Linked DNA regions of Mus musculus: region 2 is reported to be linked to region 1. The links are microRNA targets in miRTarBase. Many come from high-throughput screens and were not tested one by one. Region 1 holds a microRNA gene; the other region holds the end of a gene's coding sequence.

The links. The annotated mature microRNA mmu-miR-672-3p reads ACACACAGUCACUAUCUUCGA and lies in region 1 at 7,250-7,270, opposite strand. An mRNA with a match to its seed (bases 2 to 7 or 8) in the 3' UTR can be bound and repressed. Matches are read on the target gene's strand: a 7mer-m8 pairs with bases 2 to 8, a 7mer-A1 pairs with bases 2 to 7 and ends in A, and an 8mer does both.
Region 2: the mRNA of Atm is a reported target of mmu-miR-672-3p. Seed matches in the 3' UTR shown: 7mer-m8 at 725-731, 7mer-A1 at 754-760 and 7mer-A1 at 1,897-1,903.

What each region holds. Positions count from the first base shown.
Region 1 is chrX:104,108,943-104,125,766 of GRCm38, forward strand. It overlaps Mir672 (microRNA 672), which reads right to left and starts at 7,332; the gene lies at 7,233-7,332. The region is part of intron 1 of Nexmif (neurite extension and migration factor); the gene reads right to left.
Region 2 is chr9:53,437,123-53,440,122 of GRCm38, reverse strand. Atm (ataxia telangiectasia mutated) reads left to right here. Exons shown (of 63, transcript NM_007499.3): 62 at 1-92; 63 at 194-3,000. The coding sequence ends at 377. Among named protein-coding and RNA genes, the nearest start is that of 4930550C14Rik, 33 kb to the right of the region's middle.

The DNA of each region.
Region 1 (16,824 bases):
AAACAAAACAACAACCCTACAATACAATCCACCAAGAAATATACAGTTACTGATAAGAAACTGCAATGTGAAACTAGTAAGGAACACAATGGTACTGTTGATGAAATTATTTCTAATCACAGAGAAAAGTAAAATCCTCAGAATTTTTTTAAACAGTTACTTACGGACACTTGATCTTTGACAAAGAAGCCAAAAATACACAATGGGGGAAAAAGCGTCTTCAATAAATGGTGCTCATCCAACTGACTGTCTGTAGGTAGAAGAATGAAAATAGGCCCATATTTGTTACCTTGCACAAAGCTCAAGTCCAAATGGATCAAGGACCTCAACATAAAACCAGATACACTGCCGGGCGTGGTGGTACACGCCTTTAATCCCAGCACTTGGGAGGCAGAGGCAGGCCGATTTCTGAGTTCGAGGCCAGCCTGGTCTACAAAGTGAGTTCTAGGACAACCAGGTGATACAGAGAAACCCTGCCTCAAAAAAATAAAAAAACAACAACAAAAAAAGATACACTGACTCTAATAGAAGAGAAAGTGGAAAAGAACCTTGAACTCATTGGCACAGGGGGAAATTTCCTAAACAGAATTCCAATGGCTCATGCTGTAAGATCAAGAATTGATAAATGGGATCTCATGAAATTGGAAAGCTTCTGTAAGGCAAAGAACATAGTCGATAAGACAAATCGGCAACCTACAGAAGAATGGATAAAGAAAATGTGGTACATTTACATAATAGAATACTAATCAGCCATTAAAAAAATGACATGGTGAAAATGGATGGAACTAAAAAGTATCATTCTGAGTAAGGTACCCCAGACCCAGAAAGACATACATGATATGTACTCACTTCTAAGTGGACATTAGCCATAAATTACAGAATAACTATGCTATAATCCACAGATCCAAAGAAGATAAGTAACAAGGAAAATCCAAGGGAGGTTTCTTGAATCTTGCTCAGAAGGGGAAATAAAATAGACATTGAAGATGGATAGAAGGAGGGAAGTTAATGGAAGGAGGTGGATAGATGGGAGAGTAGGTGGGGAGGGAAACTGGGGTAGGATCAGTTGTGAGGATGGCTGACTGGAACTGGACAACCAATTGGTATGCTCTTCCTTGGGGAGGACTACCTCTCATGCTCCCAGCTTAACTAAGTTGCCTGTGCAGATCTTTGTGTAGAGTTGAAGCCTCCTGGGCTTTTCCCATGCAATTTGGCAAATTTGTTGATTTCAATCTTGTTTAGCTCACATTTGGTAGACATGTTGGTAGTGTGTAACTTATGGGTATAGCTTCTGAAGTTATTAGAAGACAAAAATCCCACAGCCAAGTCCCTGATCCTTTATACTTCTCTCCCTATTCTCCTTGTCTTCCACATGCCCTGCTGCCCAGATCCCTCCCTCCTTCCACTTTCATATTACATGTATTCTGATGCTCTCCTCATCCTTCTCCCTTATAGCTCCTCCTTCCAGTTTCTAGTTTTCTGGTGTTTATACTCACTCATTCTCACATAACTACACATAGAGAAAAGCTAGAAGCTAGGATCTGAATACTGGGCACGACATCAGGTTTCTGCCTTTCTGAGAATGGGTTGCTTCAATTAATATTTTTTCCTAGTTCTGTCAATTTTCCTGAAAATTTAATCAATAATTTCATTTTTCATGACTGAATAATTCCACTGTGCATATGTACCACATTTTCATTATCCATTCAGCTGTTGATGGACATGTATGCTGATTCCATATCCTTTCTACTATGAATAGTGCAGCAGTAAACATGTATTTGTGCATATATCTGTGGTGGGATATAGTCTTTGGGGTATATGCCCAGCAGTGGTATACTGGGCCATGCAATCGTTCTATTTTCAGTTATTTTACAAACATCCAAGCTGATTTCCACAGTGGTTGTACCAGTTTACATTTCCGTCAATGGTGTTAATGTTCCTCTTTTCCAACAGCCTCACCAAGATTAGTTGTCATTTGTTGTCTTGATGTTATCTATTCTGATTCAAAGTAGTTTAAATTTGCATTTATCTGATGACTAAGGCTGTTGAACTCATTGAAAAGTTAATTTTCTGTGAATTCTGTTTCTCTCTTTAGCTAATTTTTAAAAACACTGAGTTGTTTGTTTTCTAATTTAATTGTTTCACTACTTTGTATATAAAATGACCAAATTTTAATGCTTCCATAATCTTGTAAAGATTTATGACTTTCTAGATGTTAGCAAATACTTGGTCATTTTACAGAAATTTCATCATTCTGGTAAATGTAGCTATCTTCTTGTGGATATTGTATTTTCTATCCATACAGAATATGCTTAGAGAATGATAATTATTCCAATCAGCTTACAAGCAGAGATCCTATTACACCCTACAAACAACTTCAACCCAAACTTCTTGGAAATATATGTTAAAAGCACAAATGTAAATAGGCTTATAGTATGATCCACCAACTATATTGCTAGTAGTCTACCAAAATAAATTAGAAATGTATATTTAACACAAAACCCCTATAAGTACATGTTTATAGTAACATTATTCATAGTTTCCCAAAGTTAGAAATACTCAAAATGACTTTTAACAAAATATTGGCTAGTTATTTCTACAATGGAATACTAGTCAATAATAAAACAAAACACTCGGTGAGATTAGGCGTATTAGGGGTAACATGGCCAAAGACAAAAGGGAGCATTTTTTCATCATTATTTTTTATTTTTATTAGCTATTTTCTTCATTTACATTTCAAATGCTATCCCCAAAGCCCCCTATAACCCCCATCCTGCTCCCCAAACCAAAAGGGAACATTTTAAAAAAATTATTTATTTATCATATGTAAGTACACTGTAGCTGTCTTCAGACACTCCAGAAGAGGGCGCCAGATAGTTGTTTCGGATGGTTGTGAGCCACCATGTGGTTACTGGGATTTGAACTCAGGATCTCTGGAAGAGCCGTCAGTGCTCTTAACCGCTGAGCCATCTCTCCAGCCCCCAAAACGGAACATTTTAAATGCATTACCAATTCACACAATATGAACTGTACCTTAAATTAAACTTTGCTGAGAAACAGAAACTATACCCAAATAGGCCACATATTATATTGTTATATTGTTATGCCATTCTGTAAAACAGATTGGAATATAGGGATGGAAACCCATGAGTAATTTCAGAATGTTAGGAGAAGGAGTCCTGGTTGGCAACAACAGAAGTTTAAAAATGATAGAACTTTTCTCAATGATGCTGGAGTAAAGAGTATATAACACTCTGCCAAAAATTATGTACCTCCTATTCACAAAGACTTAGCCTTAGTATATGAAAATTTAAAAATCAACCAAGATGTTGGAAGATCATAAGATGGAATGAAAACTGTGAAAATGAATTTAACTATATAAAACATAAATGATGTAACTGCACTGAGGGATATAAAGCAGATTTTACTTGAGAAAATTATGTTTTGACACAAAATTGTAAGGATAAATAACTGAACATAAACATTATTCTTGTCCATTTGGTTCTCATAGGGACAATAGGTCAATTCTGAAACTGTTTTATATGTGTTGGTATTGAAGAAATAAACAAATGTATAGTAGGTGTTAGAACACAGTTTTCTCACTGTTAGAGAAGAAATTTATAGGTAAACAGGAATAGAAGACTAGTACTGGATTCATTCATGGTATTGATATGAGGTCATATTTAGCTTAATATACATAAAATAGATTGATAGACAATTATAGATGCATATGTATATATAGAATAGTTCAGCTATATATTACTTAAGTTGTCCATTGAGAAAGTACAGAAACAATGATAGTTGGTAAGATTGGCTCAGATCTTGGTTTTCAAATACATTGTCCCCCCCAATCAATTAATATTCCTTAAAGAAACTGCTGGTGTGAGTTTGGAGTATTTTGAAGTACCAGAAAATTATCAATCTAAGAAGATAAAATTCAAGCTGCATGTCAAGAGGCTACAGAAGCTAATCTGAAAGAATCACTTACGGTCAAAGTAAGAACATTGTGAGCAACAGAACAGATAAGCTAACATCCAAAACACTTCTACCTTCATGCACAGGAATCAAATAGCAGTCAACAAAAGTTGATATTCTTTAAAAAGAACTCCAAATTCTATATTTATTTTTTATAAATTGCTTTAGACAAAAGCGGTGCACACTATTAATCCCAGCACTTAAGAGGCAGAGGCAGGTGGATCTCTGTGAGTTTGAGGTCAGCCTGGTCTACAAAGTGAGTTTCAAACAGTAGTGAGTTCCAGGACAGTCACAACTATACAGTAAGACATTGTCTTAGAAAAACATGAATTATATTTCTACACATGTAAATATATACAAGTATTCTTTATTTCAAGGAGGTTGAACTTAGGTGTGAGTGAATTTCTGAAGCATAGAGAACAGAAAAGAAAAAAACTTCAACTTTCTATTGTGTGAACATGGCAAACCATATTATCAAAGTTAACTACTGATACTGTGTACCACTTTATATATACCTTGATAGTAATGACACTTCATCTCTGTAGTATTTTTTTCAAAACTCACAACAAATTGAGGGACATTGTACAAAACATCTTACAGGTAAACCTAAAAAACTGGCACAGATGAGAAAACTAAGGAAATAGGAAGATCAAAGATTTTCAGTTATCTCTGATCCTGATTTTCTAGATGCTAGCATAGAAAACTGATAAAATCTGGGGTTTTATTTTGAAATTATACCACAGCAATATAAGAGAAAAGAGACAATGATCATGATTTTTTGTACATTGCAATTTTTTATAAATATAGAATTATTCCAATTATTAAAAATTAAACTATAATGGCATACATGAAACATTCACACTCACAAGAGTTCATAGCTTAAACAGTATCTGTTAGATTCCCCCTTTGCATAGGAGGGAAGAATAATCTCTCTTGAAGCCAGAAATTCACTATGTGACTGTGACCTTGAACAATATCCAATTCTAGGCTTGAATTTTCAATATGTACCATAAGGGATTGAACAAAAATGTCTGAAAGGCCAATTCAGCTCTATCCACTCTGGGATTCTTTTTGGCTATGTCAGAAGCTGGAACAGAGACCCAAATCTTCCCTAGGGAGTTGTTTAACAAAACCATCTGCTTTACTAATACAAGATCAAAGTAGAATGTTCAATTTGCCTTCCAGCCACCAGGAATCCTATAGAAATGATTTGTTAAGAAGCAGAATGAAACTTCTATGGTTTTAAATCTCCTATCTGTTTTGTGTTCTCTAGGTGTCTTAATCGGGATTTCTATTCCTGCACAAACATCATGACCAAGAAGCAAGTTGGGGAGGAAAGGGTTTATTCAGCTTACACTTCCATTCTGCTGTTCATCACCAAGGAAGTCAGGACTGGAACTCAAGCAGGTCAGGACGCAGGAGTTGATGCAGAGGCAATGGAGGGATGTTCTTTACTGGCTTGCTTCCCCTGGCTTGCTCAGCCTGCTCTCTTACAGAACCAAGACTACCAGCCCAGAGATGGTCCCACCCACAAGGGGCCTTTCCCCCTTGATCACTGAGAAAATGCCTTACAGCTGGATTTTGTGGAGGCATTTCCTCAACTGAAGCTCCTTTCTCTGTGATAACTCCAGCTGTGTCAAGTTGACACCCAATACCAGCCAGTACACTAGGAAATGAGGGCAAAGTGAAAGCCAATATATAAGCGTGGTTTAAGAAAGGAAAATGGGGAGCTGGAGAGATACTCAGCTGGTAAGAGCACTGACTGCTCTTCCGAAGGTCCTGAGTTTAAATCCCAGCAAACACATGGTGGCTCACAAATATCTGTAATGAGAACTTATGCCCTCTTCTGGTGAGTCTGAAGACAGCTACAGTGTGCCACACCCACTCCAGTAAAAACTGCCTGACAGGCCCAAAAGCTTGGCTACAGTCATGAGGCATAAAGTTTTATGGAAACTTGTCTCCTGGAAAGTTTCTGGTGTCCCATAAACAGATGTGTTTCAGATTCGTCCTTGCAATAGTTGGCGAATGGTTCTGTGTGCTTTCTTTCAGTATTGTTTTATTATAGGTGCCTCCAAGGAATGATTTGACAAATACCTAAATTAGGTTGAACTTTGCTTCCTGGTCTTCACCAACGTCCTAGGCAGTCCTTGAGCTGACCCTGGGCTTGGAATTTAGTAAGAATGTTATCTATTCAGACGAATTGCCTCCAGTATTGAAAGAGAGATAGCAAAAGAAATCGGGCGTTACTATCTACTACATATAGTTAGAAATTTCAGGGCAAGCTTAGCAAAGTAAGTTTAGAATTCTTATTATAGTTATATATGTCAGACTACATTACTTAATAGAAGAAAGTCCCTCACAAAATCACTTAGAATAACAGGCGAGTAACTCCCACATACAGGAATTTACAATTGTTTAGGAAGAAGATCGGGCTGTGATTTAAGGAGGAACTAGTGTGTTGCATTATTCATGAGAAGGTTAGCTAGAGCGGAACTCCCTAGCACATACTTTCACTAGCCCTGGGGAATAGCATAGTTAGGTATTTACTAAGAGCTGGGTGGTGGTGGGCTAAACAATAAATCAGAATTAGAACTATGGCTTGGGCGTGAAAGCCCTTGCCCCAGGAGTGTAACGACCTCACACCTGGCTTCTAAGACTATAGCTGACCTTAGATAGAGCTGACTTTGTCTCAGTTGTTACATTGCCTAGTTCCTGCTGGTCTTTATGTAGGCATTCCTCTGTTTTGTGTAAAGAGTCATTAAGCATCAGGTAACCTCAATGTACCTTGGCTGATGTGTCACCTAACTTCCTTATTTTCTTCTGTGCTGCATAAGAGTGAGAACCTGAGCTTGGGCTCTCAGCATGTATACAATAAAAGCCAGGCATGGCTGGGAGGAAGCCAGAAACCCTAGTGAGGTAGGCACAGGAGAATCAGTCAGTCAGGTTTTCTGACTCTCGTCCTGACTCTATGGTTCTGTGAGAGACCTTAAAACAGGAACAAGGCAGAGAGTGATAACACAAGTCATTTGATGCCCTCCTTTGGCCGCTGTACACACACACACACACACACACACACACACACACACACACACACACTACTATTACTATTACTACTACTAACTTTAAAAATGAAGGTCTTTCTCTGCTCAGGCTAAACTCAGTTTATTCCAAGGAAAAACTCGACCTTCTAGAACCAGAATGTGCTAGCTTCAGATGTTGGCATTACTTTAATGGCTTAATAAGAGATGGCTGAGAAAGATGTGCACCCTCACTTTCGAAGATAGTGACTGTGTGTGATAAATATGTATACTCACACACAGTACACCAACCTCAAAACTAAAGGGCTAGATCACCATCTTAAATATTTTTATTGTATATTTTCTTTATTTACATTTCAAATGTCATCCTTGAACAACATTTAAAGCACCAAACGTTTTCTAGTCTACTCTAGCTGCCTATAGATTAGATTAGAGAAGGAAATAAATCTAAAATTCAGCAGAGATGTCCAAATCTTATCAGCCTGCAAGAAAATGAAAGAGGCTCTTCTACAGAGGGGCATGGTGGAGTGCTATTGTAATTCCAACACTCAGAATGGAGGAAGTGAGTTGAAGATAGAGTGGGTTACACAATGAGTTAGAGGCTAGCCCTAGGCTGCGTGATGAGATAATATTTTGGAAGGGAAGGGATGGGAAAGGAAGGGGAGGGGAGGGGAAGGAAGGGGAGGAGAGGAAAGGGAGGGGAGGAGGAAAGCCAGAATTCTAAGAAACATAAGGTTATTACTAACACATTAAACTTAGTAACGCTTAAACCCAACAGTTTCCCTCAGTCAGAACTTTTAGCAGTTCTCTAAGTGTGACAAACAACCACAGACACTCTGCAATTCATCTAGAGTTCATGAACTTGAAACCAAAGGGTTTTTCTTCAAAGGTTGTTTTTTTTTTTTTTTTTTGGTTTTTTTTTTTTGGTTTTTCGAGACAGGGTTTCTCTGTGTAGCCCTGGCTGTCCTGGAGCTCACTTTGTAGACCAGGCTGGCCTCAAACTCAGAAATCCGCCTGCCTCTGCCTCCCAAGTGCTGGGATTAAAGGCGTGCGCCACCACCGCCCGGCCAAAGGTTGCTTATTAAGGCAGTCTTGTACACATCTTTTTTAAAAGATTATTTATTTATTTATTTATTTATTTATTTAGACGCACCAGAAGAAGGCATCGGATCTCACTATAGATGGCTGTGAGCCACCATGTGGTTGCTGGGAACTGAACTCAGGACCTCTGGAAAAGCAGTCAGTGCTCTTAACCTCTGAACCATCTCTCCAGCCCTGTATACATTTATATAACTGTAATAAAGAGCAAGGCGAACATTTAGGACAAGTTACTATAATTTCTTTCACAATATATTTTTGTTTACTTTCTTCGAATACATCTTCTTCCAGCACAGAAGCTTCAATTATATGATATGCTGGGAACCTCGATCAAGAAAATGCCTCCTTTAATATGGCCTTTAGGCAAGTCTGTGGGGGCATTTTCTTGACTAATGACTGATATAAGAGGGCCCAGGACATGGTTGTTGGTGCTATCCCTAGGCAAGTGGTTCTGGGTTGTATAAGAAATCAGGCTGAACAAGCCAGTAAGTTACACCCCTCCATGGCCTCTGCTTTAGTTTCTGCCCTGACTTTTTTAAATGATTGACTACAAGCTATAAGCCAAAAATTCCTTTCCTCTCCAAGTAGCTTGGTCATGCTACTTAAAAACAAAATGTAATTGTTTATTTTATTAATAAATCCATAATTATAATAACTTAAAATATTTAGTTTCAATGTCCGTTTGCAACAATAACAGGCCTATGTAAAAGGAGAAATCAGAGGGAAAGATGCCTGGAAGAGAAGTATAAAGAAAAGGGAGATAGAAGGAAAAAAAGGAAAACTGGTCAGAAAAAGGAAAATAAAATAGAAAAAAAAAACAGTACAAAATGAGGTAAAAATTACCAAAATACATTATGTTTATATATGAACTTGCCAAATAACAACAATAATAATTTCAAAGGTGGGGTGGAGAGATGGCTACGCTGGGACCAGATTTCAGATTCTTAGAATTCATGGAAATACTTAGTGGGTGTGGTCATAATCCCTAGAGCAAGCTGGCTAGTGAGGGTAGCCATATCTTTTAGCTTTGGATTTGATTCAGAGACCTTGACTTGAGTTGTGGTGAAAGAACATTGAATATCAAATTGAGCTTGGACCTCCACATACATGTGTACACATGTGGACCTGTACCCCCACTCACACATGTAAGCTGCATGCAGATATACATGCATACAGTGTACATAAATGAAAAAAAGGAAACATAAAAAGAAACAAAAAAGATAATAAACTAAGGGATAGTGAAGAAACGTGTTACATGTCGTGAGTTGCCTCATGTGAGTGCTGGGAACCCAACTTCAGCTCTTTGCAACAACAGCAAGTTTTCTCTTCTTAATCTCTGAGCCATCTCTCTAGATCTCTAAATTCCTCCTTTTACTTATTTAGTTATTCATTTTTTAAGACAGAATTTCCCTATGTAGCCCTGACTGTCCTGGGACTCATAGAGATCTGCCCATGTCTGCCTCTCAAGTGCTGGGATTAAAGGCATGCACTACTATGTCAGGGATTTTTGTGGCAACCTTGTAGGAGGACCAGCAGTCTCAATTAACCTGGACCCCTGAGATCTCTCAGACACTTAGCCAACAACCAGGCAGCATACACCAGCTGATATGAGGCCCCCAACACATATAAAGCAGAGGTCTGGGTCTAGTCAGAGATGATGCACCTAACCCTCAAGAGACTGGAGGTCCTAGGGAGTTTAGAGGTCTGGTGGGGTAGTGGGTGGGGACATCCACGTGGAGACGGGGTGTGGTGGGGAGGAGGTATGGGATGTGGAGAAGTCAGAGGGTGGACCAGGAGGGGGAATAAAATCTGGAGTGTAAGTAAGTAAATAAATAAAACCATTTGTAATTCTTTAAGAATTTCATATATCTACACAATGTATTTTGATCATATTCTGGGAGGGGGAATAAAATCTGGAGTGTAAATAAATAAATAAATAAATAAACCATTTGTAATTCTTTAAGAATTTCATATATCTACACAATGTATTTTGATCATATTCATTCCCACTTGTTCCCCTAAAGCCTTCCAGATCCACCAGCCCATCCCCTCCCAATTTCATATAATGCTAAAAAAAAACCTACTCTAAGTTCAATTCGTAAGGCCATCCTCTGAAGTACACATACCCCTAAGTTCTACAGTTTAATGTTCACTCAATCTAACAGCTTTGACATATGCCATGGACCCACTTTCGTATGACTTCGCTGTCCTAAAATTTCCCTGTGCAGTATTTATTCCTTCCCCCCAAATCCTGCAATTATGAAAATTTTTATTGTCACCACAGTTTTAGTTTTCAAGCATATTGTATTAGTTGGAATTATACAGTATAAAGACTTTTCAGACTAAATTATTTTATTCAGTAATATGTATTTAAGATTTCTTTGTGTCATTTTGGCTTGAAAGCTTATTTCTTTTAAAGGCTGAATAGTCTATTGTGTGTATCCAACACATTTGTTTGTTTACTCACTGACCCATGAAGGACATCTTAATGAACTGAATAAGATGTGAATTATTGTGTAGGTCTAAGCTTTCAAAAACTCATTTGGATAAGTACATATAGCATGATAACTAGACCATTTAATGTGGGTACACTCGATTTTATGAAAAAACTTTCTTCCAAAATGGCTGTACCAATTTTGTATCTCCAGCAACAAACAAAAATTCCTATTATTTGATATCTTCATCATAATTTGGTCCTGTCATTGTTTTTGGAGTTTGCTCTTCTAATATTTGTATAATGCTTTTATGCTGCCTTAAAATACCTTGGGTAATTTGTGAGTAACAATTTGTTTCTTATAGACCTGGGGGATAAAACAATCAAGGTACAAAAGTAGACTTATTGTGTGGTGAAGGCTAACTTCTGTTCAATAGATGATAGCTTGTTCTGTTTCTGACATGATAAAACAAAAGGGATTAAAGAATGAACTCACTGTTTAAAGGCATTCTAATAATTTGTTTTTATTAAAATATATTAATTATATACAATAATGGGTTTCATTATGTCATTCTATATTTTGTTGCTGGGTGATGTAATCCTTAAGTGGCCCGCCATGCTGCAGAAGCAGTCAAAGTGATGACTGGCCCCCCACTTCCCACTCAGCCCAAGGCTGTGGTGAGATGCCCCAGCGGGAGCTGTTAAAATGGTGGCACCAGGACATCTCCTCAGCCTGCAGCAGTCACAGGAGCTGCCTGTAGTGATGCACTGCCTTTCCTGCCTAAGCAGGGTGCTCCCCAGGAACACAGTGGCAACACCTTTCCTGCCTCAGCCTACTGCAGCATGAAGAGCTGTCCACGGTGACAATACCTTCTTGGTGAAACTGTAGGCGCTGTCTCACAGGAGCTATCCACAGTGGCAGCACCTCCTCTCCAGTCTCCCTGGAGCAGCCACACACAGATGATACCTCAGCAAAAGCTGATTGCAGTAGACAAGTACTTCCCACCTTAACCCATGAGCCTGATGCAGGTAGAAGGGAGTGAAAAAAAAGCCACAATCTCTGAACAGGAAAATCCTCCAATCCCTGAGTTGCCCAAGCTCAGAACTTGAAATCCCACCAATCTTCAATCTGGAAATCTCTGCCCTGAGAAGCTCCGCCCCCTCAGAAATCCTGTATAAGCAAGTGTCCCTTTGTCCAATTCTCTTCTGTCTGCTCTAGGAAGCAGAGGGCATCCATCCTTGGATTCGTCCCTTTATACCCTAGACCCTTCAATCTCTTTCATAAGATTATTTTGCCTGTTGTGACTCTCTGGTGAGGGTCCTGAGCTCCTCAGCTTAAGCTGGTGGTACCCTCTCCTGGGCGCTGCAATGCCTCTGCTCAGGAGGCTTCCTCTCAAAGCTGTGCGGTTCCTGAGCTTCCATGTCTCAGGATGCCCTTCCACTGGGACACTGTCCCACCTCAGAGAGGTGGGGTACCTCTTCATCTGAGCAGAAACACAGCTGATGGTGGCACATGCATTTAATCCCAGCACTCAGGAGGCAGAGGCAGGTGATCTCTGTGACCTCAGCCTGGTGTACAATGAGTTCCAGGACATCTAGGGATACAGAGAAACCCTGCCTTAAAAACAAATATATGTAAAGTCTCTCTCTCTCTCTCTCTCTCTATATATATATATATATATATATATATATATATATATATATATATCTTCCTAGCAAGTACCAACTCTCTTTCTTGGTTTTGGGTGTCCCCATCACTTTAAATAGGGTTGCTTGGATGAGGGTAATTTAGAGGAGCAAGTTATCATCTATGAAAAAAATGTCTTTCCATCCTTCAGCAATCAAACTACCAATAGTGCTGCAGGAAGGGGTGAAGCCTCTTCCTGATAGCAACTGTCATAGCCAATAAATTCTCTAGGAGGAGTGGGCCTTTGTGATCCCCTTCCCCACCCATGATGAAATTTGATAGGCCCAATCTTGTGCAGTTTATACTTCAATAGTGCTACAACCATGTCATAGGCAGGAGAGAGCAGTCGACAACACTCTTCCTTTTCTTCTAGCTGCTACAATTCCTTCTGCTCCCTTTTCTGAAAAGTTCCTCAAGCCTTGGGGCAGATGATAGCGATGCTTCCTTTAGGGCTGGGCAGTCCATAAGTCACTTATTCTCAGCACCTTGAGTACTTTTGAATCTCTGCAGTAACGCTGCCCACTACAAAAGGAAGCTTCCCCTATCAAAACAGACAACAGCACTCATGTATGAGCACAACCGTAAGTCTTTAGATGATAACTTGATGGATATAACATGTCCATTTAGCAAAATAAAAATAAACATTTACCTTCTAGGGCTTATGGCCTCCACAGCTACAGACTTGTTACCAGGTTTACAGTAATAGGCATGAATTTCCTCCTCAAATCAAATGAGAATGTGGCTGGATATACTCAACAGTTATGCCACTATTGCCACAGTGGGCACATCTTGTCTTGTAGGTCTGTGGTATAGCATGCAGGCCTAGCAGGCTAGGCTCCTCTAGCAGTCTACATAGTTCTTCTGGCACTATGAAAGTTATCTAGCATAAAGGAAGTTTCTAGCTCAGTTGTAGCTTGATTTTCAAGAGCAGTAATTTCATCTATAAAGGTACAGCTCACAGATGAATCATTTCCTACGGTATATACTTTTTAATACAATTGCACTGCAACTAAATATTTTTATTATCGCCAATTTTAAGGTTTACACATAAAATAATGGCTCCGTTATGGCATTTTCATACACATGTATGTAGGCCTATATTTTTCAACACCTACTTTATTTAGGGTTCATAAATGTTTCAACCCCCCTTCTAGCCCACCATTCAGAGGTATCATGAACATTTTTACCCCTTCCTTTATTGTCTTCCTTTCCACCATCATACAACACTTACTGTGTTATATAGTTGGGTTATTTCACTTATCCCAATATCTTCAATGTCCATCAACCTTGTAGCATGTGACTAGATCCCCTTTTTGAAGCTGCATACTAGTTCATTACAGATATACACTATGTTCTATTTATCTATCACACAACAATGAACATTTGAGTTGCTTATACCTCCTTTAAAATACATGTTTTTGTTGCTAATCACTGATGTTTATACAATAATATGGAAATATATTTATGCCAAACTTTTGTGTTAGAAGCAAACAGAATATTTAGACTTTTCCCAGCTAGAAATCAGAACAGTCAGAAAATAGCTTCTTCAGAAAGTGAGGGAGGGGATGCACTGAAGCTATTAGACAGACACACAGTTGGGGAAATGCAGAGCCTCTGGCTATTGGAGCAGAGGGTGAAAAGGTTGCATCCTGACTGAGCCTGTAGTGGCTTGGCAGCATGTCAGAGGTACTATCAGAAAAGGAGAAAGATTTAGTGGGCATAACTTGCACAGAGACAGATGCAGAGCAGAAAGTCTGAACTTAGCTGCTGGGAGCTACATAGCATGCTGGTGCTTGGGAAGTGTTCCACATTTCACATCTTTAAAAGGTCATGTTCAAGCTGCTTGCTTTGAGAAATATCTCCCTACAGTTTCCTTCCCTATAAAACTCGTGGTGAATTTTTCTACTCTGTCCCTTGCAGCATCCAGTGTAGGCCCAGCCGAATGCTGCTAAGGAAAGCTCATTGAAAAATACATGTAGTACATTCAGGTGGGAGATGTTCCCCTTTTAGATAAGCAGTGCAGTGGTCAGATAAAAATGCTCAGTGGCTGAGAAAGCACATATGTAGACTGGTACTCGGGAAACTACAGTTGTGAGTAAGAAAAACATGAGATTTGCTCTATGACTCTACCTTGTATAGTTTGTTGCCCCATTATCTATGTGGATCTCAGGGTCAGGCAGGCTCTGGCTGGGGGTGTGGAAAGTATGTTCAACTAATATATTTGGAGGAAATTCTGACTGAGGGAACTTTGGTTTATACCACCTCATACTAGCAAGCATGGAACAAAGGTATTCCACTACTAAAACAATATATGCAGTACTAAAACACTCACATTGTCAGATTGGCTGACAACAGAAAAGGAAAGGTGACCATCACCTGCATTTGCTTTCTCCAATAAGCTTATTGTTCTAGACATATGGACATATAAGTGCCAACTGGTAGACATAATGAACAGCCACTATTGTTCACATGACTACCCAGAGGACATAACATTTTAATTTCTAAAACATTTTTTGGAACATTTTAACAAGGTAGCTCAAGTTGGCTTAGAAATCACGTTGTAGGCCACACTGGTCCTCAAACTGGTGATCCTCTTAGCTCTACCTTTACAGTTCTGGTTTTATAATAGTGTGCTACTGTGCCCTTTCCCCCTAGTATTGCTGAATGGCATATAATACCTACATACGTGCATGTGTATGTATATACACATATATATACATTTATTTTTGTATTTGTAATAATTTTCTTTTATTATTTTGTGTTTTTATTTTTCTCCTTCATCTTCTAATAGTCAATTTTTTTATTCTCTCTCTTAATTTACATCCACCACTTTCCACTTTTATCCTTTGCCCATTTGATCAATTGGTTTTATGGAAAAAATGAGGGAGGAAATTTTAATATTCATAGAATCAAATTAAAATAAAACTATACTTTATCAGGACATTTGTGATACTGCAAAGGCAGTTGCTATAGGGAAGTTTGTAAGTATGAGTGCCTACTCTAAAAATTCAAAGAGAATTCATAATTTTATGATATACCTCAAGGTCAGAAAAATAAGAACAAGCTAAACCAAACTTGGTAGGAAGCAAGAAATGAAGATCATTATAGAAATGTAAAGTAAATGAAAAATAAAGTCAATGAAGTAAAGAATTCTTAAAAGGACAAACAAGAGTTATAAACTTTTAACCAGTTAAATAACAACCAAAAGAATGAAGGGAGAGGGAGAAAAAGAGGGAGATGGGGAAGGTAGGAAGGAGGAGGGAGAAGGAGGAAGCCCCAAATTAAGAAAGAAAATGAGAACATTATAAGGGATATCAATGAAATCCAGGGGATTGTTATAGAGTACAAGGGAAACTTGTATTCCAATACATTGGAAAATCTGAAAGAAATGAATACATTTCTAGAAACATATGGCCTTCCAAAATTATACCAAGAGGATATAAACAACTTAAACAGATCTATATAAGTAATACGTATGGAGAACTGAGCAAACAGAAGCCCAGAACCAGATGGATACTCTGCTGAATACTATCAGTCTTATAAAAAAAAAAAAGAAGTAACACAAATACTCATCCAAATATTGCATTAAATAGAAGAAGTGGGCTAGGATTTTGTGGTGCCTGCTTGTGATCCCAGGACTTCCAAATCCTAAGGAAAAGAATTATCATATCAGTTTGAGGCCAGTTTGAGTTAGATAGTGAATTTGAAGGCTAGCCTCAGCTACAGAGTTACACTCAATACTCAAATCTCAAAACACTAAAAAAGAATTTTTAGGTAAGATGGTAGACTAGATGCTACCTAGGTGTTACCTGGAGAAAAGAACATCCAGAATAAGAAAAATGTAATTTCAGGTAAGATGGTAGACTAGAGTCTTCAGAGCAATGATAGCTGTTAAGTAGAGTTGCAAAAGGAATAACAGAGAATACTCCAAAATGACTGAGGAGAGCTTCACTAAAAGCATATACATATATATAAGAGGCCTTGGGAATTCGGAAGAGGCTATAAAGGAGAGGTGGGAGTATGAGGAAGAAGACAGAGGTGGCAAATAATGTAATTATATTTCATTAAAATTAAAATAAGAAACATATTCACAAGTGACACTGAATGAACCAGTTGTATTTATGTATTTATATGTATATACTTATAATAGTAATAATTAAAGAAAGATGGGAGGTAGGGATTGATCTGGGAGTTAAGGGGAGGAGTAGGGTCCAAAGTAAATATGATCAAAATAAATTGTATGAAATTATCAAAACATTAATATAAATATTACATTTTTAATAAGTGAAAGAATACCTAAACAAAGAGAGACAACACAAACAACCTACAAAGCTGCACTAATCCTTCTGGCCAAGCAGAGAAAATGCCACTGGCTTGGTATCCAAGAGCCTAGTTCTATGTGTGACCCTAAAGAAAATGCTGTAATGGCCCCAGAACTCCATATAGTGCAGAGGACACACACCTTAACCTAGAGGAACAAACAATGAACCCATGGCATTGCAGAATATGACAGGACTGCTACTGGGGATAAGAGCTTCAAAGGAATTGACCACCTGGCAAAGATGAACAACTCAGCAAACCACACAAATCCA
Region 2 (3,000 bases), not on the chromosome of region 1:
AAAGCTCTGTATCTACAGCAGAGACCAGAAGATGAGTCCGACCTCCATTCCACCCCCAATGCAGATGATCAAGAATGCAAACAAAGTCTTAGGTGGGATATTTCAGGAAGGACCTGTTGTTACTTAGATTTTCTTGTTCCCAGGCCCTCCATGGTTGCACCTCATTGTAATCTTTGTGTTCTTTTATCATTAGTGATACTGACCAGAGTTTCAACAAAGTAGCTGAGCGTGTCTTGATGAGACTGCAAGAGAAACTGAAAGGCGTGGAGGAAGGCACTGTGCTCAGTGTGGGTGGACAGGTGAACTTGCTTATCCAGCAGGCCATGGATCCCAAAAATCTCAGCCGACTCTTCCCAGGATGGAAAGCTTGGGTGTGACCTTCACCCTTAAACTCGAACTTCAGAAATGACATCTCACCCACCATATTTGGACAGGAATTACTTAAGTGAATAACTGCTTTTGATCCAATTTTCTACTTGACTGATCACCACCTAAATATTAGTATTTCTACTCTCTTCTGTTAGAGGTAATGGTCACTCAAGATCCATTCGTAGGATACGTGCTGACTCTTAGGTCATGCTTGTGCTACTGCAGCAAGACCGCCGCATACACACTGAACTGCAAATGGTGGGGGCAGCAGAGTGAGCTTTACTGCTGGTGTACATGAAGACAAGTTCGTAACTTCTGCTCTAAAACAACCTTTAATTAAAGCATGTTTTCCAGACTGTGTGTGTGTGTGTGTGTGTGTGTGTGTGTGTGAGAGAGCATGTCACACACATTAAGTAATGAAGTGCTTAATAATACTTTTCAAAAGGGACTCTTTAAAATTGTAACTATCACTATATCATGGGAATCCCTCATTAGAATGAATGTAGGTAGGGCTGGAGTGTGGCTCAGTGGGAGAACATGTGCCTAACCTGTAGGAGGCCCCATATTCAGACCAGAATTGCAGATTCAAGAGAAAAAAAAAAAAATAGAGCATGTTGAAAGCAAGCAGTATAAGTTGAGCCTTCTTAATTCTTAAGTCCAAAACATGAGACATTTTCATGTTGAAAACTTTCTGACATATTGGGCTCATTTTAGACTTGCACATTATATTAGGCACACAGCTAGTCTTAGCTCGCTGTCTGCATGAATGCTTCCCAACCTGGAAACGTCTAAAACTGAAAGCAACTCTCAGCACACATACACACACTCACAACAATAAAGTAAACAACTTTTTTACAAAGGGAAAAGTAGATTGCATAGTTTCAGCTATGTGCCCTGGAACTAACAGATCCACCTCCTGGGGCCTCCCAAGGTGCGGAAGGAAGGTCGGTGTTAAAGGTGTGCCACACCATATTCCACTTTATTAATGTTCCAAGTCCTGGTCTGTCACTAACCATCTTTAAACACCGCATTGGGATCGTCTTGTTAAGGCAAGGGCTGGGTGGGCGGTTGGTTGTATTGTTGATTCTTGTCTCGGGGGCTGATTGGTCATTTTGTCATTTTGAAAGGTGTGCTCACTCATACACACAAGCACACACCGTGTGTGGGAATCCAGAGTGGCTTGGTTAAGAGGGGTTCTTCCAGATAGTTTGCTTCTGTTTCACCCTCAGGGATTTTACTGACATTTCTTGGCTCCGGAGCTTTAGATCTCAGGAGTAGTGTAGATTCCCGAGAGCAGCAGAGTCTTTCAGGCCGCAGTAGACCTGTTCTCTCTAATCTGTATGCTAATGGGCATAATGTTGAATTGATGCCCCTTAAAATGAAAGCTCGACCTGTGTCTCACTGTGGTGGCAGGGTAAAGGGAGATGGCATTTAATGCTTCTCTTGTGCTGTTTGCAAGCCTAATACCACACGTGTGTGTGTGTGTGTGTGTGTGTGTGTGTGTGTGTGTGTGTGTGTGTGTGTGTGTGTGTGATTTGTATTGTATATACAAAGCCAAACTACTCTTTTGGTTTCTGTAAACTGCTATGAAACTGTTCTGCATTTCAGCTTTCTTGTGTATTTTGTAAGAATTGTTAAATGGATATTTGGCATCTGCTTGACTGCAGTAAATCAGGCGGATGTAATGAACTTAGAATGTCTGTAAGCAAGTGTTGATGTCTTCATGGATGGAGGAAGAAAATTAGCTAATGATGTCTAGCTAAATGAATTTGTAATTTGTTTTTGTAGTTAATCCACTGAAGAGGTTGGAATAGTTGATCCATTCTTCACCCTTGAATAATATTCTGTTAACAGAATATATTCAGATTTCTTCAGTGGCTTTGATAAATCTATGTCAAAATTTTTCAGATAAACCCAGAAGCTGCTACTTGAAAGGTGAAAAAGACTGAGTTAGAAAATCTTTCTGACAGGTTTGAGTGAGACGGGCTGTTACCAGGAGCCCATGAGTGATAGTTAGATTTATAGGTTACTAAGAATCAGGTATTTTCTTTATGCTGAGTACCTGACATGTCTATCAGCAGCACCTCTGATTCTTACAACAAAACTTTGTAATATTCCTGACGGTGCCACAGATTATCTGGAGAAAAATTACTTGCCTGAGGACAGAAGACATTGCACATGTGTTCCTCACAGAAGCTGCTAGAAAAGAAGGAGGCAGCATGTCTGTCTGTCTGCAGTAAAGGAGGCAGCACTCCTCTTCCAGCCCTATGCTGCTGTACCCCTCAAATGGTCCCCAGTCAGGTCCTAAGGCTAAGGTCATCATAGCGTTCAATTAAAACAGGGAAAAAAGGGTGTGTCCCTAGAAATCCATCTCAACTTTAGATGTGATAAAAGGAATAAACGCAAAAAGGAACTTAGAGCACCTTAAGGTTTATAATAACTGTCTTTCTTTTTAAGTAGAAGGTCAGTATGAAATAGAAAATGTGCCATATCAAATGTTTTAGTTGCACCTTAGTAAAATTATGTATGTTATGTAGATTTGTTTAGTGCTAGTAAATGTTTTTCAGTTATGCTGTTTCCTGAATTATCAGTTTGTTTTAAATAAAGAACTGTGGAAGTATATGCTGACTA